Pelodiscus sinensis: one gene and its partners. The protein of the gene in region 2 interacts with the protein of the main gene of each other region in a pairwise test. Links are inferred from orthologs where the notes say so. Each region holds a gene or a part of one and is shown on either strand. Other genes may lie near its edges. The genes, in order: ataxin-1-like, HIVEP1 and BHLHE40.

Region 1 (7,500 bases), on a different chromosome or scaffold from region 2:
CCATTGATTCTTTTACGTAGGGACTGTCCAGTTTGGCCGATGTATATAGCAGTGGGGCATTGTTGGCACATGATGGCGTATATTACGTTAATAGATATGCAGGAGAATGTACCAGTGACAGTATGGCTGATCTGGTTAGGTCCTGTGATGGTGTTGCTGGTGTATATATGTGGGCAGAGTTGGCACCGAGGTTTGTTGCAAGGATTGGTTCCTGAGTTCGAGTTATTATGGTGCAGTGTGTAGTTGCTGGTGAGAATATGTTTCAGGTTGGCGGGTTGTCTGTGGGCAAGGACTGGCCTACCTCCCAAGGCCTGTGAAAGTGAGGGATCATTGTCCAGGATGGGTTGTAGATCACTAATGATGCGTTGGAGAGGTTTTAGCTGGGGACTGTAGGTGATGGCCAGTGGTGTTCTGTTAGTTTCTTTCTTAGGCTTGTCCCGTAGCAGGAGGCTTCTGGGTACATGTCTGGCTCTGTCAATCTGTCTCCTCACTTCCTTGTGTGTATTGTAGTATACAGAATGCTTGTTGAAGATCTTGTAGGTGTAGGTCTCTGTCTGAGGGTTTGGAGCATATGCGGTTTTACCTCAGTGCTTGGCTGTAAACAATGGATCGTGTGGTGTGTCCGGGATGGATGTTGGAGGCATGCAGGTAAGTATAGCTCGGTAGGCTTTCGGTATAGGATAGTATTGATGTGACCGTCACTTATTTGCACCATGGTGTCCAGGAAATGGACCTCCCGTGTAGACTGGTCCATGCTGAGGTTGATGGTGGGGTGGAAGCTGTTGAAATCGTGGTGAAATTCTTCCAGAGTCTCCTTCCCATGGGTCCAGATGATGAAGATGTCATCGATGTAGCGTAGGTAGAGAAGGGGCGTAAGTAGACGAGAGCTGAGGAAGCATTGTTCCAGGTCAGCCATAAAAATGTTGGCGTATTGTGGGGCCATGTGGGTGCCCATAGCAGTGCCACTGGTCTGGAGGTATATATCGTCACCATCTGAAATAGTTGTGTGTGAGGATAAATTCACAGAGTTCAGCCACCAGTTGTGCTGTGGCATCATCAGGAATACTGTTCCTGACAGCTTGTACTCCATCTGCCTGTGGGATGTTTGTGTAGAGAGCCTCTACATCCACAGTGGCTAGGATGGTGTTTTCTGGAAGATCACCAATGCATTGTAGTTTTCTCAGGAAATCCGTAGTGTCACGGAGGTAACTGGGAGTGAACTAGTAGCTGCAACCTAATCTGGCTCCAGGGTTAACATTTGACTAGATGTAGGTAAACACACAAATACAATTGGTACTTACTCTTAATTCTCTAATACAGGGTTGAATTTCAAAGCTCTAATGACCTAACAGTGGTTGAAATGTAGCCATGTTAGTCTGGTGCAGCTGAAACAAAAAACAGGACTATGTAGCACTTTAAAGACTAACAAGATGGTTTATTAGATGATGAGCTTTCGTGGGCCAGACCCACTTCCTCAGATCAAATAGTGGAAGAAAATTGTCACAACCATATATACCAAAGGATACAATTAAAAAAAGATGAACACATATGAAAAGGACAAATCAAATTTCAGAACAGAAGGGGGATGGAGGAGGGGAAAGAGGGGGGAAGGTAAATGTCTGTGAGCTAACATTATTAGAGGTGATAATTGTGGAAACTATCTTTGTAATGGGTAAGATAATTAGCACCTTTATTCAAATTTGAGTGTAAAGTGTCGAATTTAAGCATGAATGACAGTTCAGAGGATTCTCTTTCAAGTGTATTCTTAAAAGGTCTTTGAAGCAGGATGCAGGTAATCAAGTCATTGAGACAATGTCCTTTCTGGTTGAACTGGCAAGAAACTGGTTTTTCTTTGTGATCCTGTCTAATGTCTGTTTTGTGGGCATTGATCCTTTGGCGAAGTGTCTGAGACGTTTGTCCAATGTACAAAGCAGACAGACACTTTCGGCACATGATAGCATAGATTATATTTCTGGATGCACAGGAATATGTGTTCTTGATCTTATAACTCACTTGGTTGGGTGAGTGTCATATTTTACAGTTCCCACATTTTGGGGTAACATGATTTGTGACCCCCCACAACAGCCCAAATTAGTTAGAATACACCACATTCCATTCTAACAACCGATCCTCCATCAGCCCTGGCTGAATTGGATTTACATAACCACACCTCGGATTCCTTCTCCATCTCGGTATGAGCTATATTTACATATCAATTATCTTGCAGAGCTAAACAATTAGAGTGAGCATACCCACCCCCAGGGCAGCTCTCTTCTTTTAGCTGGCTGATAGCAAGCAGTGGTTCAGCCCCTGCTTACATAGAAATGAGAAAATATAAATTATCCAGTATTTTCTAAATCAGATGTAATGTAGATTGTGATGTAATGTCAAGTGTGTCCGGGATTTTTGTTGAAACCATCAGGCGACCCTACAATTTAGGGAGAAGTAGCTAAGCCTTTTCTCTTCTTTTGAGTTTATAATCTACTTTCCTCTGCCTGTTCTCACCTATCACCACTTAAATCCTACTGCTTGTACTTCATAAAATCCTTTTTATTTTCTAACAAACCCGAGTCAATAATTATTCCCTGTGGGAGCAGTGAGTGTGCACATCCCCCCTTTCATTGCTAAAGGGGGCTTACCTACATAATTCATTTGGGGCTTTGATCCCATTTGGGGAGTGGGATCTCAGGAAGCTGGGCCCAAAACTGCATTTTCCTAGGACCTGAAGAGATTCAGTGTCTGCCCTGCTTCTCAGGGGGCTGTGAGTCTCAGCTCTGCGGTCCAGGGAGCTGGCCCAGCAGAAGCCCCAGAGAGCAAGAAGGAGGGTGGCAGTGGCCTTCTCATGGCCCTGGTAATCACCCCCAAGGGGTGGCCTGTTTGTCCCTGCAATACCCCGGCTCACAAGGACACCAGTCAATGCTGCCCCAGAGGCCGAGGGGGTTGTTTGCATGTTTGGCATTTTGCCAAGACGATTGTTACAGCTGCTGCACCAGCAGCTACGCGGCATCAGTCCTGGCAGTGCTGCCTTGTCGCTGGCCGGCGTGGCAAGAGCCATGACAGGCCAAGAAGAATTCTGGCGCTCCAAAGCCACGGACCTTCCACTGCCAGGCCCAAAAGCACTGCCGCCACCAGCCCACAAGGCCGCCCAGGGACCGCCCAGCCGCTCCCCAGAACCACCCCTGGCTGAAGCCACCGTGTATCCCCGATGCATAGCCTCCCTGGACACGGACACGCCCCGCCCCCTTTGGAACAGCCAAACACTAGCGGCCAGGTTGTGTGCTGGGGGCGAGCCTAAGGGCAGTACAGCGCTGGGGCAGAGCCCATAACGTGGGTGCTGGGAGCGGGACCAGGAGCAGTAGAGCGCTGGGGGTGGGGCCAGTAAGGTGGGCACTGGGGGCGGGGCCAGGAGCAATAAGACTCTGGGGGCAGGACCAATTGTGTGGGAGCTGGGGGTGGGGCCAGGAGTAGTACAGGGCTGGGGGTGGGACCAATACAGCGCTGGGGGCGGGGCAAGAAGCAGTTTGGAAGGGGGGAGGGGCATGGCCAATAGTCTGGGAGGTTCGGGAGCGGCAAAAGGCGGTTCGGTGCCGGGGGCGGGGCCAGGAGCAGTACAGCGCTGGGGGCGGTGCTAGTAAGGTGGGTGCTGGGGGTGGGGCCAGAGGTGGTTTGGTGCTGGGGGCGCGGCCAGTAGGGTGGGCACTGGGGGCGGAGCCTGGAGCAGTAAGACGCTGGGGGTGGAGTCAGGAGCGGTTCGGCACTGGGGGTGGGGCCAGGAGCAGTAAGACGTTCGGGGCGGGGCCAATAGGGTGGGAGCTGGGGGCGGGGCCAGGAGCAGTTCGGCACTGGGGGCGGGGCCAATGAGGGGCGGCTTGGCACTGGGGGCGGGGCCAGGAGCAGTTTGGCACTGGGGGCGGGGCCAATGGGGGGGCGGCTCGGCATTGGGGGCGGGGCCAGGAGCAGTTCGGCACTGGGGGCGGGGCCAATGAGGGGCGGCTCGGCACTGGGGGCGGGGCCAGGAGCAGTTCGGCACTGGGGGCGGGGCCAATGGGGGGCGGCTCGGCACTGGGGGCGGGGCCAGGAGCAGTTCGGCACTGGGGGCGGGGCCAATGGGGGGGCGGCTCGGCATTGGGGGCGGGGCCAGGAGCAGTTCGGCACTGGGGGCGGGGCCAATGGGGGGGCGGCTCGGCACTGGGGGTGGGGCCAGGAGCAGTAAGACGCTGGGGGCGGGGCCAATAGGGTGGGAGCTGGGGGTGGGGCCAGGAGCAGTAAGACGCTGGGGGCGGGGCCAATAGGGTGGGAGCTGGGGGCGGGGCCAGGAGCAGTACAGCACTGGGGGCGGGGCCAATGAGGGGGCGGCTCGGCACTGGGGGCGGGGCCAGGAGCAGTACAGCACTGGGGGCGGGGCCAATAGGGTGGGAGCTGGGGGCGGGGCCAGGAGCAGTTCGGCACTGGGAGCGGGGCCAATGAGGGGGCGGCTCGGCACTGGGGGCGGGCCTGGCCGGCGGCCGGGCAGCGCGAGGCGGGGCGCAGAGGGGCGGGGCCGCGCGGCCGAGTGACTCCGGCTGCGTGACTCCACGTAGGGTCAGACGGCTGCGCGCGGATCCCTCCACCAGGTAAAGTAGTGCCGGGGCGCGCCCCGCCCCCGCCCGCCTCAGGGGTCCGGCAGCCCCCGCGCGGGCCGGTGCGACATGGCGGCGAGCCCCGCTCCTGCGGATCGCTCCGCCGGCGGGAGGGGCTGAGGCTGCGCCGCCGCCGCCGCCATTTTGGCGCCTGGCTCCTGCTGCTGCCCGGCCGGTGAGTGGGGCGGCGGCGCTGCTGCCCGGAGGCCGCGGGGTGGCGGGCCCGGCCTGGGGCGGCTCCCTCACGGCGCTGGGCCCCGCGCGGCGCGGCCCGGGGGGGGCTGAGGCGAGCGGGCCGGGGGGGGGCGCTGTGCCGGGCCCGGGGGGGGCTGAGGCGGGGCGGGGCCCGGGGGGGGGCGCTGTGCCGGGCCCGGGGGGGGCTGAGGCGGGGCGGGGCCCGGGGGGGGGGCGCTGTGCCGGGCCCGGGGGGGCCTGAGGCGGGGCGGGGCCCGGGGGGGGGCGCTGTGCCGGGCCCGGGGGGGCTGAGGCGGGGCGGGGCCCGGGGGGGGGCGCTGTGTCGGGCCCGGGGGGGGCTGAGGCGGGGCGGGGCCCGGGGGGGGGCGCTGTGCCGGGCCCGGGGGGGCTGAGGCGGGGCGGGGCCCGGGGGGGGGCGCTGTGCCGGGCCCGGGGGGGCTGAGGCGGGGCGGGGCCCGGGGGGGGCGCTGTGCCGGGCCCGGGGGGGGGCTGAGGCGGGGCGGGGCCCGGGGGGGGGGGGCGCTGTGCCGGGCCCGGGGGGGGCTGAGGCGGGGCGGGGCCGGGGGGGGGCGCTGTGCCGGGCCCGGGGGGGGCTGAGGCGGGGCGGGGCTCGGGGGGGGGGCGCTGCAGTGTGCCCCGAGCATCCCGCCAGCGCGTGTCCAGGGCGCTCGCAGCCCTGCGGGGCCGGGGCGGGGACGGGCGGGCGGACGCAAGCGCGGAGAGGGGTCGGGGCTACGGAGACCGGGGCAGACATGTTGACTGTGCTGTTGAGCGACGCTGAGCTGCGGGGAGTCCCCCCAGGGCAGCGCTCGGAGCCTAAATGCTCCCCGTATTTTAATCTGACATGGACAGTTCATCCAGCGCTTCCGAAATAAAGGGACCTGCCTGCACAGGTGGGGGGTGCACAAGAGGATTCACAGTAACTAACCTTGCTCGCTCCTGGCAGTCTATAGTATCTAGAGACTCTGGCAATTGAAACATTGCATCTGTCTGAATGTTTTTGCTACTATTTGTATAAGTAACATTGAGAGTACTGTGATACATTCAAAGATTCCCAAAGCTGAATAGCCTCTGGTTGAAACGTTGTGAAATTATTCAGGTATAGGAGTAATAGTAGGCAGGTGTTGTAGTCTAGCCAATTTCAAGTGTAGTGGAACAGCTGGAGACAAGAAGCTACCACTAAATGGCCTGCCAGCTGTCTGGGCCATCCACAACCTGTGATATAACTGAATAAGATTAGACAAAAAGTTAATTTGACATGTATTTGATAGCATTTTCAGGCTAGTCACTTTCATTGCTGCTCTTGTTCTCATGGACTTGTCACTCAGCATCAGGAAGAGAAGAATACCTTTAAGGATAAGAAAATATTTGCAAAATGACAGAATTTGGCAGGGGACTCATGCCTACGGGGAAGTTGTGGATCCTCCATTGCTGGAGGTTTTAAGGACAGGTTAAAAGAAACATCTGTCAGGAATGGCTTAGGTTTACTTTAACCTGCTTCTGCACATATAGGGCTTCTAGCTCTGCATTTCTATGAATATGAGCCTACCTGTAACTATTTCAATGGGATAATTTTCAATTTGGTATTGTCCCTGTAATAAGCCATTGCTGCTTACACAGTGTGGTGTGCCATATATACATATATCCTGTGTTGACAATGGAGGACGCTGAAGAGCGGCCATGGGTAAAATGGCTGAGGAACCAAGTTAATGGGACTTAAGATCTGTATTGTAAGGTTTAAAGTACAGGCAGGCCCTGGGTTATGTACAAGATAGGGACTGTAGGTTTGTTCTTAAGTTGAATTTGTATGTAAGTCGGAACTGGTACATATTGTAGGGGAAACTCTAGCCAAACATTTCTCCAGAGCTCAGTTTTATTCTCCCACACCTCACTTCCCTCAGTCCTTTATTCTCAAGCTGAGGTGTCTGCTGAGAAAAGTCGCTCTGCGTCTCCCTGGTCTGCTGGGGGGAAGCAGCTAGTGTGGGGTTGCCTCACCCCATTTGTAAGTAGCGATCCGATGTAAGTCGGATCCATGTAACCCGGGCTGTCTGTATAGCTAGTTGCTTTAGTCTAGTAACTGAGCACTTTCCACATAATACCAATAGCAAAGTCCTAGTGGACTGGTTCCTTCTTCCCCTGAGGTAAAAAAGCCTGCTCTGAATGCATAGCTTTTTTGGTTTGTCTGTTACAGGTTTTTGAGTGGTGGGGATGTTCAGTTAAAAGGAGGTAGCCCTGTTGCAAAGGTCTTTTTCAGAGGAAGATTTTTGCAGCATCTCCTAAAGATAGCCTAAATTGCATAGTTCATTTAAATAATGAAAATGTCTGTGCACTTTGCCTGTTAAACAGAGAGCTAGATAACTGAGTGAGTTTTACTAGGGATGCTAGCACATAGTTGTATAAATGATTAACCAATAAGCCTCTGCTTAATGGTTAATCCTAATGGCTGCATGCATATCCCTTCCCCCTGATGCTTCTACATCAGAGGCAGCAAGGATGGGGAGGCAGGAGCTGGTGTCTGTGGGGAGCTACCTTTTAAGCTGGCTCCCCATGAGCACAGTATCCTGTGGAGCTGCCTGCCCTCCCCACCCCTGTGTTCCTGCCTCTGATACTGATGCAGCTGTTGCTACACATCAGAGGCAAATGTGTTGCAGGGAGCATGGGGCCAGCAGGGGACTCAGCTATCCCC
Region 2 (7,282 bases):
AAGGCGTTGAGCATCTCTGAACATGGGATGATAATAATTAAGCTCTCACTGGAGTTTAAATGTGTAAAAAAAATACATTTCCCGTAAGTGTTAGAGGTTCAGCATGCAAGTACGTTTCAAAATTGGGACACCTCTTTGAATATATGCTTTTAGATGTCCTAGTGTTTAGTAGCAACACAAATAACGTTACATATTTATTAAAACAGCATACTTCAGTTGCCCACCAGCAATAAGATAATAAGATTTTTATTTTGCTGGGGATGGGAAATCAGATGGAAGTGGTAAAAATCGTTTAAAAACATTTGAAATTTCGTTTTCCCTCCTCAGTTTGAAATATCAGCCCTAAAACAAGCCTATATTGTGATCACCAGCAAAGCAGATTAGAGGCTAGGATTTAAAAACATAGAAGAAAGATTTAAAAACCCACAGACAGAGAGAGGCACTAAATGGTAGAGTGCGAACACAAGTTGCAAAGGGGAAAAACATGAATGAATAAAGAGGGAGGAGCCTGGGAAAACCCCTCTGCAACACGGCCGCACCGAACAAAGCGCTGCACACGTCCATCCACAAGCTGGGGGGGGAGGGACTGCAAACCGGGACTGACCCGGGGAAGAGATGCATGGGGTGGGGGACAAATGGGAAGGGCTGGGGGAGGGGGAAATCACCGGGATGCCTGCCTACTCCTTGCCACAGCCCAGCCTGCCTGGGGGCGCCTCACGCTCCCCGGCTAGGAAACAGACACGCGCGGCTGGAACAGGAGTAAAGGCGGGTTTCACACAAACCGCAGCCCCCCGGCAGTGAAATGGGGGTGGGGGACGACGGCAGCTGGAGCCAGGCCTACTGGTCCCTCCCTCCCGCCCGCCCCCATCTCCCTACCGTGGCGTGCTTGGGCGCCGCCGCGGCTCAGGGGGCGGCTCCCCGGGACCCGCTCTGGGGCTACACCCGGGTCCCCCGCGGCCAGGCTGCTCCGGGCGGGGGGGAGGGTGAGGGGGCTGGAGTCGGCCCTGCTGATGGCGGCGGCAGCCGCTAGGAAACACGGCGCCTGGGAGCCTCCTTCACTTGACAACCCCGGACAAACACAACCCGGGGCTGGCCTCCTCCCCCGCCTCAGCCGCCGTGCAAAACGCCCCCCACCCCCGCCCTACCCCGCTCACATGCACCGCCCCAGCATCCGGGCAGCCCCCCAACACACACCCCTTCCCCCAGACGAGACTCCCGCCCGTCCAGACACCCACCGCTCCAGCAGCCGCGCCCCGCCCGCACGGCGCCCCCCGCAGCCACCCAGCCCCCAGCAGGGCGCCCCCTCCCCCCGGGCAATGTCTGTCGCTCGCTCGGTCTGTCTGACACTAGTCCCGCCCCGGCGCGCAGGCAGCAGCGGGTGATGCTCCATGCACAGGGCGGGCTGGGCAGAGCCGCCCGTGACCCGGGCAAGGGCCGGGCTGCGGGGGGGGAGGCGCCCTTGGGGCGGGCTGCAGGCAGGGGGCAGCGGGCGGGCCCGGCTGGGCATGGGGTGGGGGGGGCGGTTCAGGCCAACTGGGCCGGGCCGCGGGCGGCGCAGCCATTGGGGGCTCCCTGCCCGGCCGGTCACTCACGGGGCGCAGCAGCTGGGCAGCGCGAGGGGAGGCGCGCGCGGCGGTGGCGGCGGCTCCGGGGCTGGGGCGGGGGAGGGGGAGGGGGGGTGTTTTACCTTCTCTCACTTTCTATTGCAGGAAGCGGCCCGGTCCAGTGACGTCACCGGGTCTCCCGGCCCCGCCTTCTTCCCTGCCTGCATGGGAGGGGGGAGGGGTCACTGAGGGGGTTTCCTCACAGGCTGGTGGGAAGGGACAGAAGTGAAACTAGACACGCGCCCTGGCTCACGTTGAAAAAAACTTAATCACATAAAATCCCCCAGCCAGTAAGAATTCCCTCTCCCCAGTGCCCTCCCCCATGCCCACTCAGCAAAAGTGACTTCGTGCCAGATGGCACAATGCCACGCTGGGCCTGGCCATGCCCTGTCACACCAGGGCAGATGTCGCGTTAGCCTGTGCCCCAGGGTAGTCTGCACAGTACTGGGTCCGGCTGTAAAGTGCCATGTCAGCTAAAGTCATATTAACATCACAAGCAGACTGACCAGCACGACAGCGGCGCCATGCAGCTTTGTGTCCCACACATCAATTTATTTGTGCCAGACTTCACAACAGTGTTGTCAGACTTTGGGGAGAGCCTGAGCTGATGTTGCACCATGCCACACTATGTTAGAACACGTGAGATGGTGCGGCACCAGGCTAACCTGTATCGGTGTGTGGGACCGGACATCTTATTTGGTCAGTGGGCAGAACTGGAGACATTTTCAGTCATGAAGCAGTTAATCCCAACGATTAATCCCAGCAGCAGCCACAAACTGTTAAAGTCTTATTAAAGAAAACTCTGTTTTTCCTCGGAGGAGACATGCCCAGACAGGAGTTGATTAAGAGCCTAAAGAAAAATTATTACAAATCCATTTGCATTCTCTCTCCCACCCCAACAATGCAATGCCGTGGGCACGCAGGTGCGTGTCGCACTCCCCCCTATAGCGGCCCATCCCGCCAGCACAGAGAAGACACACAAAACATACGCGCACACACTCCCATGTATGCACATAACTGGGGCTGCTGCTGACGCGGAGATCCCGGAGGTTCCTCCTTGCTGCCACTGGCAGGTCACACATGCTGCGTCCTCTTTCTCCTCTCTCTCTCTCTCTGGGGTTTCCCGTTCCCTAGCAGCTACGCCTAATCCCCTCCTCCTTCCTATTGCAACATACCGATAAAACCTCCCCATACCGAGGACACCCCACCATCCAACCCTTCCCATACAATTTCCCCCCAACGAGATTAAAAGAAGAAACTCACCCAATGCCCGCACTCTTTGCACATTCTTTCCCAGTTAACTTTTAAAATAAAGAGACAAAAGCCGAAAGTAAAAAACCTCCACTGCTGGATGTGGGCGTGAGAGGAAATACAAGGAGGAGGTGCCTAGTGCTCTCTACTGCTGCTCCCCTTTTTTGGCCCTTGCCTAGGGTTTTGCTGTTCTAGCTGTACTGCGCTGATTGGTTTACTCCATCAGCTGTTTATATAGATTTTGCCTGTGGGTCATTTTGAATGGGGAAGATCCGCGGTGAGGGATTCCTCCTTCTCTTGTTACAGGGAAGCAAAAGGAGGGGGGTTGCCATCGCCGGTTAAAAACAAACCGAAACAAAACCCTTCCCTTTTGTTTAAAACCAGAGAGCTTTTTAAAATTTAAAATACATTATGCTAAGCACTGGACCTTTTAAGTTTCTGTTGCCAGGGGAATTTTACATGAGATTTTACTTTATATCACATCAGGATCCAGCACATTTTTAACAGAACAAATCTAATTAAATGACCTCCCATTAAGTCTTACATTGTTTACTTGTGTTTCTTCAGCTATTTATATCCATCTGTTGTGTCTTGTCCTAGACTGTAAACCTTCCAGTGCAAGAGCTGACTTTTTGTTATAAATCTATACAGTGTCATCAACACAAGATCTTGGTCTAGGACTGGGCTCTCCCTCTGTGGTACTTACATAGCCTCTATTAGCATAGTTTATGAGCACCTCGCCATTTTTAGAGTATTTGTCCTCACAGCATCCGTGTAAAGCTGGAAAGTATTATTATCCTCATTTTACAAATGGAGAACTGAGGTAGAGTGACTTATCCAACAACACCCTGGGAGTTAAATCCAGGTCTCATGAGTCTCAGACTAGCACCCCAACCATCAGACCAGGCATCCTCTCTAGGACTCTCAAGTGCTAATGGAATACAAATAATAATATCACATCCCTGGCAGTAATATGTGACATACAATGCCCATTTTTCCCAAAGGCATTGGATGTTTTGGGGTTATAGTATATTTGCAAGATCATCACATAGGTTATGCTATCACTTAGGTATAGTTATTCTTATACTTAAAGAGCTGTGCAGCTACATGCTGTCGCGCTTCACTGTAGACATTACCTGCACTGACAGGCAAACCCCTTCCTCATCTCAAGGGTGTAAAAAAATCCATCTTCCTGAGGCATAATTCTTCTGCAACTTAATTCTGGCTGCACTAGGCTAGGCTGGTATAGTTACATTTCCCAGGGTTGAGAAATCCTGAAATATATTGCGATGCCAATATAAGTTCCCAGAGTAGACCAGTCCTATGCCTGTGGGTGAAACAGTGCTGTCAACCTATGTCGTCTGAATGAGATGCTCTTGGAAAGCCCATTCACCCACAGTGAATACAGAGATTTCCTGGTAACAGCCGGCACTAACTCATCAGTATCTGAAATTTTAACGTTTATGAAAAAACTGTTTTAACCCTTTGGGCACAAGTGTAATTTTTCAAATGTGAACCAATGAAGTGCTACATTCCAGAATCTGTAGACAGACAGCTCCTAGTGTCTCTACTATGCTCACAGGTTTCCCAAGCAGCATAATGAAATTGGAGACTATTACTTTAAATCCAGGAAATAGACATAAGCCTTACAAGAGCAGCATCAATTTCAGATTGCTGATTGTTGAATCACTAGCAGCAGAAGCAATGGAGCTATTCACAAAACAGGAGAAGATGAAAATAGCATACATCCCACCTTCTAGCCCATCACTGCTTCTGGAACTCAGAAGCTGCAGTGGGACTAGGTACCTACATCCTAATTTTAAAATGAATTCTTCAAGCAGTGTTCAGGGAGAGCACCATGACAGGAATCCTAGTACACTTCCAGGAGATAGGGAGTTAAATGAGCTTCTTAGCAAGGATTTGCCTCTAGACCCTTGCTGTTGAGATCCTTTCACATCTGTCTCTGGCTACTAGATTTAGTCATCTAGCTAACAGGGAATAGTAACATGGCTGGAAAAAAATTAGGAAATCTGGGTTCTGATTGTTGATATGCTGTGTGACCTTGAGCAAGTCACTTCCTCTCTTTCTGCTCTGATTTTTCCACAGTAAAGTAGAAAAATATGCATATCCACTTATGTGAAACACTTGGAAATATAAGGATGAAAAGTGATATGGAATATTCTTAGTAACAAGTATCTGGGAACTTATTCTGGCCCTGTGAATGAGGGAGATATCAAAAAAATAATCAGTGAAATGTTAAATCTCTCACTGAAACACACTGCAAACTTCTTCTCACAAAACTAAAATACTTTAAAAACTGCATCTAAAATTAGTCCCATACATAAGAGTCACCCTTCAAATGGGTGAGTTGAGAGAAGGGCTACTAAAGCATATTTTACTTTTGACTCTCTATTGCATTTTCAAAAGGGACTAATTTTTAAAATTTTGATAACTTCCCGCTAGATTTATGCATAAAACATTCATATTTGACAATAGGTGATTCTGTATAAAGGTACTTTTATAATTGCTAATTGTTATTATTAATATTGCATTAGAACCTACAAGTCCTAGTCCTAAAACAGACGCACCTTGATTCTACCACAGAAAAGTATGTGGAAAGTTTAGAAACGGGAGAGGCCAGGATATAACATAAAACTTTAAATAAATCAGCATTTACCATGCCCACAGTATTTTACTTTACTGCAGTTCTTATTAAATATGGTGAGTGTTGTGGCAAATTTAACTACCTTAGGCAGCAAATATTAATATTGCTTATATCGTTCACTGCAACATGGCATATGCATTAATCAAGCTTAGATTTGTATTTCTCTCACAGTCTTTAGTCACTCAAAACATATAAAAGCACAGACTCCTTGGATAGTGGGGGGCTTAGGCCTGATCTAGACTACACAATTAAGTCGATTTAAGGCAGATTCCATTAATCTAACTCAGTCAGCCTTGTCCTGCCCGATGTAAGTGCCCTACCATGCCTATGTAATAACTCCAACTCTACAAGAAGTGTACTGCTTATGACAGTGGAGTGAGGTTGACACAGTGTCGCTGTAGACACTGCTTTACTTACATCAGATATTAAGTGCCTTGTTAATTTCATGTTAGGAATGTGAAATTGATAAGGAAGGCAGGCAGCTAGAACCTGGCTATCCCTGGCTCTCAGTTGGCTGCACCCACCCAGCTCCCCATTCACGGAGGCAAGAAGCCCAGAAGCTTGTGTGACTGCCCCCTTACTCCCAGCAGAAATCAGGGGGGTTAGGAATCCAGGGAGGCAGCTGGGCTCCTTGTGCAGAGCTGCATGGAGCTGAGAGTCTCTTCAGTTGGTGGAAGTGCTGCTGGTCAGGACGTGCACCACTGACAGAAGGAGGTCAGTGTGGACATCAGCCACCACAGTAATTACTGCATTGGCTGTAAATTGACCTAACATAGTTTGATTTAAGTCTGTAGTAAAGACATGCACTAGGCAGGCATAGAATAAACCAGAATATAATTAACTGATATGCCATTATATCTTAAATCAGTAAGGCCATGTCTAGACTACATCCCTCTGTTGGCAGAGGGATGTAAATGAAGCACTTTGAAAGTGTAAATGAAGCAGGGATTTAAATATCCCATGCTTCATTTGTATAATTATGTAATGGCGCTCTTTTGGAAAAAAGTGCTATTTCGAAATTGAAACCGCAGTCTAGACACGGTTCTTTCGAAAGCAGAGCACTTTTTCGAAAGATCCTGTAAACCTCATTTTGGCTACGTCTAGACTACAGCCCTCTGTCGGCAGAGGGATGTAAATGAAGCACTTCGAAAGTGCAAATGAAGCAGAGATTTAAATATCCCATGCTTCATTTGCATAATCACGTAATGGCGCTCTTTTGAAAAAGCGCTATTTCGAAATTGAAACCTCAGTCAAGACGCGGTTCTTTCAAAAACGGGGCGCTGTAAATCTGAGGTTTACAGGATCTTTCGAAACAGCGCCCCATTTTTGAAAATCATATCTAGACTGTGGTTTCAATTTCGAAAGAGCCCTTTTTCGAAAGAGCGCCATTATGTAATTATGCAAATGAAGCACGGGATATTTAAATCCCCGCTTCATTTTCACTTTCAAAGTGCTTCATTTACATCCCTCTGCTGACATAGGGATGTAGTCTAGACACACCCTGGCTGTGTCTACACTGGGCCACTTATTCTGGAAAATCAGCTGCTTTTCCGGAATAAGCTGCGAGCTGTCTACACTGGCCCTTGAATTTCCGGAAAAGCAACAATGCTCTACCGTACAAAATCAGCCGCTATTCTGGAAAAGCTATGCTGCTCCCGCTCGGGCATAAGTCCTTATTCTGGAACACTGTTCCGGAAAAGAGCCAGTGTAGACAGCCCAGTAGTCTTTTCCGGAAAAAAGCCCCGATCGCGAAAATGACGAT
Region 3 (7,396 bases), on a different chromosome or scaffold from region 2:
AATAGCAAAAGGCAGCACAGTGAATAAGCCTTGGTATCACCTCAGAAAGACATCAGTTCCAAAGTGATTTGCAAGAAATATCTGGCTCATCTGCAGCTAATGAAAATTGAGTACAAAGGGCCCAAATCGTCCCAAATCAATTGCATGCACCTGGGGAGCGGCGGGGTTGGTCTAAACTTTGGGAAGTGATATTGGGTTTGGCTGTGTAATTCTGCTGCATATCTAGTGGCTGTTCAAGCAATAGCAGTCTTTTTAGAAAAACCAGTTCTATCCTGCCAGACTCAGTGTCACAAAGAAGGGGAAGGAAAAAACAGATGTAAAATACAGTGGGCCTTTAAATAGCCCACTCTTTGCAGCTCAGCTGGGTACTAACTAACTTAATGAGAAACCAAAAAGGATGTGTCAGAGAGATGTTTTCATATTTAGGGGGGGTGCAGGAATCAGGGCTTAATCCAAACCTTATTGAAGTCAATGGAATGACTCCCATCAGTTTGGGATCAAGCCCTCACAGCAAAACTGTACTATGAAATAAAATAGCTATAATCAATTTAATATACTTTAAAATTCAACTTCACAGCTAGTTATAAATTAACTGACTAGATGGATAAATGATATCTTTTCATAAATCCACATGTACATAAAGGGGGGTTTGCGTGCTAAAGAAAAAAAAAGAAACGCTTACTCCTCCCACCTCCCAAACCAAGTGTCATAAGTAGCCAGTATTTCAAAGATGTTGAAAGTAAGATCATGAGACAGTCCAGGGTTCTCACATGATACAAGCATGACTTGAATACTCACCAGCTTGTAAACCATTCTGTAAAGCAATTATTTTCTGTTGCTGCTGCTCAATGAGATTAGTTAGTGCTTTCACATGCTTCAAGGTAAGCTCAAGAACCACAGCCTTCTCCAAATGACCTAATGTCTGGAAACAAATGGACAGGTTAGTACTTATTTTAGAGTCAGTCACGTTTCAAGGAATCTTACAAAGGTTTCAATTCCTTGCGATATATATAAGAAAAAGTGAGCTGCAATTTGGCGGACAAGGTTAAAAACGGTGTCTTTATTCAGTGAAATCTGTTGTCTTGAGCAACAATGTTAACATTTGGAGTCTGATCCACATATTATGTAAACTTAAAAAATAAAAAAGAGGGTTGCAGTGAAGGGTACAGTTACACCCTATGGGTGTTTTAGAACCAACTGCATAGCTCTCAAACAACTATTTTATTTATCTATTCTGCTGCCCCTGCTGGTATCATGACCTTAACACAGGGGGATCCAGTCAAAGGGTTTCTTTTGAACAGTGACAGGAGAGGGGTGTCCTGCAGGATGTCAGCCAAGATGGCTTTCCCCATAACTTCTGAAGAGATTTTTTTTCTTTTAATTTTAATCAAGCACTTAAGCTTTTACTCTTTTTCACACACACACTACAGAAGCAGAAGTGGCTGACCTTAAAATGTGTTGCAGAACAAGAACACAGAGAATGCAAGTATGGAAGCAATCTCTAAAGGGACTTGACTCTCAGATAAGTTAGGGATCAACTTATAAATGGCATCCAGTAAAACTTCAAAAAGAGCAAGAAGGAACATTTTCAGAGGCTCAATTTAAAAAAAAAAACAAATCCCCCCACATTCAAATCAAGCCCACAACAATCACTTTTACCTCATGATTTATTTTAATATTGCAGCAACTTAATTCACATCATCCCACCACCACCACAGATATACACTATTTAGAAATTCACAGTATCTGCAAGGAAAACCAATTGTAATAGATCCATGTGGCAACTCTGCCCAAATCATAGCCTTTTCCACTTAGATCTGCAGTGCTGAGATGAAGCCTCTAGATGGCACAGAAATCCATTAACCAAGGCACATCCCCAAAAGGAAGAGGAGTTTGGATATTAGCCAGATTTTCACTTACTGTAAGTTTGAGATGTTCTGGTAAGAGATCTTTCAGTTGGGCAATGCACTCATTAATCCTGTCACGTCTCTTCTTCTCTATCAGTCTGTGGGGCAATTTATAGGTCTCCTGGAAGCCAAAAGAAAGGAGCAATCAGACAAGACACAAGATGACTTCCTAGCACCATGGATAGACGCATGGTAAAAGGTGATCTAGAAATAAAATTAGACCTCAAGCTTCTGTGTACCCAAAAGTATTGTATGTAACAGCTACTGAAATAAATATTTTCCCCTCTCATCTTCTGAGCCCCAGATTCAAGGACAATAGGTGTGAGCGCAACAGCCTCATAACATTAAAAAAAAAAAAACTTTGATTCAAACTGTCTAATGTTAAAACAACCCTCCTAAATCCCTCAGCAAATTTTGTAAGAGTTCAGCTTTATACAAAAAGCAGATTTAAAAAAAACCCGAAAGACAGACACTAATGCATAAAACTTCATTTTTTCAAATGAACACAGGTGTTAACTAACAATGCAAAGATTCAGCAATTCCTCCATTTACCTTATTATCTTCACTTCTTTTTAACCCTCTTCTGGGCTTGTAAACTTGATACATGTGAGAAAAGGCCAGCCTGCACAGATGACATAAAAGTGCGATGAATTAGCATGATTAGCCCTACACACTGAGACAGACACACACACACACGGGGCAAATGCAGAACGCAAGGAGCCCGACAGGCACAGGGGGAAGGACCAGGAGTTCCAACCAAACCCAGCAGGCAGACTGCGCCCCGGGAGGTGGCGGGGAGCACTGGCCCAAAGAAGAGGCATCTTACCCGGGCATCTCGTTGCTCTCCAGCGCAGGCAGCTTGCCCAGGCAGGCAGGAGGCGGCTGGGCGCTGGGGATCATTTCCATTGCAGCGGGGGGCTCTGCTGCAACTTAATTCCGGCCGAAAGCAGCGAAACGGGTCCTCGGAGAGCCCCGGGGCGCGGGCAGGTGGCAGAGCCGCGGGCGTCGGGACGGGCTGCGGGGCTGCAGGCGGCTACGGCGCGCGGACCATCTCGGTGCGGGGCGCGAGCTGAGGAGTCGCGGGCAGGCGGCAGGCTGGGTTAAATGGGAGCGAGTGGGTGGCTGGCGCTACGTGTTCTACCCTGTGACTCCCGGCACGTCTGTCTGGGCCGGGGCGGGAGAGCCCTGCCTTCCCCCATCACATGAGCCTCACGTGTCGGACAGCGCTCCGGCCTCGCCTCCCCCCTTCCCCGCCCTGCCTGCCTGCCTGCCTTCCCCGGCGCCCCGCCGCGCACGCCAGGCGGCGGCAGCAGCAGCCCGAACGTGATGGGGCGACAGCGACAGCGACAGCTCCGCCGGGCCGGGCTGCGAGGGGAGCGAGCGAAGGGGCTCGGGCTGCCCTGCCCGCCTCCGCGGCGCCTCCCTCCTTCGCCCCGGCCCTGCGGAGTCGTGGGCAAGTGGCACCTGCGGGCCCTGGCTTCTCTGCCTTCACCCTGGGGTGGCGCAGCGGGGAGGCAGGCTGGTTGGGTGTCCCCGCCCGGGGGTGTCACAGGTGGCGGGGGGGGAGGGCATGAGGGACAGAAGAGGGGGTGTCCAGAGGTGGGGTGGGGAGGGTTGGGTGATGGCCAGTGCTCCCTGTAAGCTGAGAAATGGGTTGCACACCATGGGGAGGTTCAAAGGCAGCACAGCCCCCACCGCTGGCAGCATGTGTGCCTGTTGGTGGTGCACATCCGCACATGCCGCAGTGCTCATAAAACTTATTCTGCCCCGCTGCGGAAAAAGAATAGAGGTAACATTGCTGGGGAGACCCCCATGTAGAACTGCAGAGATCTCACAGAAGAGGGTGTTGTGGCAGGTCTAGGGGTTATGGAGACCAGACGCTCCAGATGCTCCCTCCTAATGCCCTTCCCTAGTCAGAAGACAACTTCTTTGGCCTCAAGCACCTCACTTAACTACTGAGCTCTAGCTTCCCTCTCAGTAAAATAGGAGGTTGGAGAGTAAAACCTAACTTATCTACCTCACAGGGGTTGTTTGGATGAATTAGTTGGTACGTGGAAAAGGCTTTTGAAGCGGCTCAGTGCCTAGCACTATTCCCAGCAGAGTGGGCAGTGCTCCAGGTTCATGGAAACCGGCAGAGGCAGAGCATGTCGGCTGCACCCGACTGCAGCGTATTTAGCTGATTCTCCATGTTCAGTGGTGTAAAACAGGACGAGGAGAAGACATTCATAAGCTGATATGCTAAAAATGCATTTTCTGAGTGCTTTTGACTGAAAATCCCAGCAAACAGCAGGGAAATGATTGGGACAAGGCCCCTGATGCCACTACAGACAAATACTTTGCCACCCACTAAAAGAAACTGGCTACCACCGCTGAGCTATTATGCAATAATAGCAGCTTTCCAGTGGGAATAGACACAGAACATGCCATATCTATTGTCAGGTAATTTAATTATTTTTTAAAGTCTGTACTTTATAGTAATGCAGTGGTTAATGGCTTGATAAAATGCAGCATAGAATTTGGCCAACAGCATTATCTTCTATGTGCATTTCTACAGTTAGAGGGAAATACCCAGGCTTGGGAATGCCGCTGAGAATAACTGGTATTAAGGGGTGCAGGGATTTGTGTGAACTCTGGCATTAGCAGAGTAGCACTCAGACATGGTCTGGGCTGAGGAGATTGCAGCTGAACCCAGGGCAAAGGCAGAGTGACCAACAATTGGAATTCAGCGGTGCGCTCCTTTGGAGCAGTTGTCCAAGTCAGTGGCTGATTTAAGACAACTGGTAATGTGACAGGCGATGTGAGGGGGAAGGAGGGGGCAGAGAAGCAGAGTATATAATTACAGCAATCTCAGGGCTGAGGCTACCGTAATTTAGGCCTGATCTACATTGAGAAAGTTTTTTATCAGCATAAGCATGTATGATTCTTTTACTGACATAAGAGCCTATTATGGGCCCACTATAAGGCACTTACCAGCAGTGTTCCCTCTAAGCCAGGGGTTTTCAAACTAGGGTCAAAGTGTTCTCTCTGTGTCTGTGGAGCTTTAGAGTAAACAAAGTGTTGCAGGTCAACCAGGGGCTTTCCCTGGCGGGTCTGTGACCCAAGTTTGAAAATCCCTGCTCTAAGTTGTGTGATTGTGCAGCCACTCAGGAGAAATTGAAATGCCGCAGGGCGCCCACAGGTAGGTTTTGTTTCTAGTGGAGGTGCACATTCTGCACATTGATGGAAAAGATTAGAGGGAGCATTGCTTACTGGTATTGCTTATTCAGCAAAGTGAAATCAGCTAAGTTTAAGCAGCAACATGTTTATGTATACATGAAACCTTTAACTGGGAACTAGGATTCCCCTGTGCAGCCTCTGAATTCCCCAAGAGCAGGAGCAGAATAGCTGAGAACTAGGACCAGCTATGAAATATTACACTCTTACCTATTTCATAGGTGTCTGGGGAGGTTTAATTCTTTGATCTTTGTCAAGCATTTAAGACTTTTGTCTGCCTGCTGTTGTACAAATGCTTAGGATGATTATAGTGAAGTGTAACTGCAAAAGCAGGCTTGTTGTTTTGAGGATATGTTGTCATTTCCTCTGCATACTAAACAAGGAGAGGACAGATCACTCCAAAGAAGGTATATTTACTAGATAAGGTAATAACAAAACCAGCCAAGGTTTATCAAAGATTTCCCTATCTCCTCTGAGAGTCCTGTGACAGTCACTGTGGCTAGAATCTTGAAGTCAGCAAAGACTTTGCTAGAGACTGGAGACAGCATTTATGTAAGAGAAGATGGCATGCTCATTTCCGGATACACTGTCATTTAAATGCATGTGTGGTGGCAAAAGTGCTAAAGGGGTTTAGAGTTGTAGACTTGTTACACTAGAAGGTGACTCAGTTAACGAAACCCTGTCAGGTCATTGTAGACCCAAAGCGGAGGTTTGGTAAAAATCTTACTTGTAGGAAAGAAAAATTCCCCTGTGGTGTCTGCAGCCTAAACAGTACAGTATAGCTACCAACCAAGAACCACAAAACAAAGCTAACTATTCTCTCACTGAGTGTTCTCTCATATGTGTTTTATAGCCCAAGCCTGCATAGGATTCACTGTCATGATCAATTCACTGATTTCAAGTCTCTGCAGCGTTGGGCCCTTCAGCCACGATCTTGCAAACTTAAGCATATATTTAAGTATATGAGTAGTCCAATTGACTTCAAAGAGACTACTGGTGCCTAAAAAGTTAAGCACGTGAATAAGCACTTGCAGGATCAGGCCCTTAAATTGAAAGCTCTTAAAAGCAGAGATTGTCTTTATTAATGTTAATCTACAGCTGTTGTTAAATAAATTCATTAACACTTATTACAAAGTGAAACTGATTAATTGGTAAAGCAGAGTTTTGTAAAGCAAACAAATAGCATAAAGAGTGGAAAAATAAATTAGGCATTAAAATCCTTTGGTTTAAAGCTCTAAGCTTATTTGTACCACAGGTGAGGGCATTTAAAAATAATGTATAGATATAGCTATTTAATTTTAAGCTTTTAACATACTTTCATTTATTCTTCTCTTACTTGTCTTTATTAAACAATAGAAATAAGTAGAGTTATGGTAGGGGATTGCTACTGGCAAATTCTAGCATTTTGGTTCAAGGGCAGATACTTTTCACCACCTCTAAGTTTTAGATTTAAAATAAAAATATATGTGGAAAAATTCATGCCCACTGGTTGTTTGACTCTTACAGGTACTTTGAGACACTACATTCCTGGAATGGGTGGTGAGCTAGAAATCAGGATCAGAGGTAATCCCCCATTATTTAGCTCTTTCACTATTGGTATGTTTGCCAAATAATGTGCCTTGTCAGGTTTCACTGATGACCTTAATGGTAGTTGCCAAGGATTTTGGATTCCCCCCTAGAAAGAGAGTCCCAAATGAAGTTATTACATTCTTGGGCATCAAGTTAGATTGTGGGAGAATTAAATTACACTTTCCTAGTGCCTGGCACAGCTTTCACGGGCTGATGCAATCATTAATTTGTCACTTTAATTTTTGTTTGCAGAGCCATTTCTCCATGGCAGATTTTTTTACAATGCCTGATTGAAGCTATAATGAAATGTTAAAAGTAATGGCATTATTTTCTAAAGCCATTAAGGGACAATCTGGCATTTCCAATGGTAGTTGTAGAGCATTTGATGCCATAGGATAACAACAATAATAACTTGTGTCCAACAGAGATTTATAGTTATTTACAGATGTTAGTAATACAGTTCTTCAAATCATTGACACTCTTAAGAATATGTGGGGAATCCAGGGAGTTAACAGACAGTAGTGGATTCAGACCTTTGGTTACTGAGGGCGGTTTTGTTTAAAATGTCTCTTACTTAATATACCCATGAAGGCCAGGCATGTGCCCATGGGCTGTAATCAAATAACTGACTCTCCCTCTCTCATTTCCAACAGTCTCGTTTCATGTTACTGGCACCGGAGGTTAAAGAACAGCCACATCAAATACCA

Evidence for each region.
Region 1: the proteins of HIVEP1 (region 2) and ataxin-1-like interact in a two-hybrid assay, tested with the Homo sapiens proteins (2 studies listed by BioGRID). The link is inferred for Pelodiscus sinensis from reciprocal best matches to the Homo sapiens genes HIVEP1 and ATXN1L.
Region 3: the proteins of HIVEP1 (region 2) and BHLHE40 interact in a two-hybrid assay, tested with the Homo sapiens proteins (2 studies listed by BioGRID and IntAct). The link is inferred for Pelodiscus sinensis from reciprocal best matches to the Homo sapiens genes HIVEP1 and BHLHE40.

Annotation. Positions count from the first base shown.
Region 1 is NW_027466015.1:628,610-636,109, forward strand, and holds the start of ataxin-1-like, read left to right. Parts: upstream 1-4,459; 5' UTR 4,460-4,613; intron 4,614-4,619; exon of another isoform or gene 4,620-4,794; intron 4,795-5,466; exon of another isoform or gene 5,467-5,707; intron 5,708-7,500. UniProt on the Homo sapiens protein: Chromatin-binding factor that repress Notch signaling in the absence of Notch intracellular domain by acting as a CBF1 corepressor. Binds to the HEY promoter and might assist, along with NCOR2, RBPJ-mediated repression.
Region 2 is NC_134712.1:109,735,568-109,742,849, forward strand, and holds the start of HIVEP1 (zinc finger protein 40), read right to left. Parts: upstream 3,021-7,282; 5' UTR 2,868-3,020; intron 2,715-2,867; exon of another isoform or gene 2,594-2,714; intron 2,568-2,593; exon of another isoform or gene 1,688-2,567; intron 1,240-1,687; exon of another isoform or gene 877-1,239; intron 1-876.
Region 3 is NC_134721.1:16,270,256-16,277,651, reverse strand, and holds the start of BHLHE40 (class E basic helix-loop-helix protein 40), read right to left. Parts: upstream 3,023-7,396; 5' UTR 2,814-3,022; coding exon 2,734-2,813; intron 2,530-2,733; coding exon 2,460-2,529; intron 2,029-2,459; coding exon 1,921-2,028; intron 923-1,920; coding exon 799-922; intron 1-798. UniProt on the Homo sapiens protein: Transcriptional repressor involved in the regulation of the circadian rhythm by negatively regulating the activity of the clock genes and clock-controlled genes.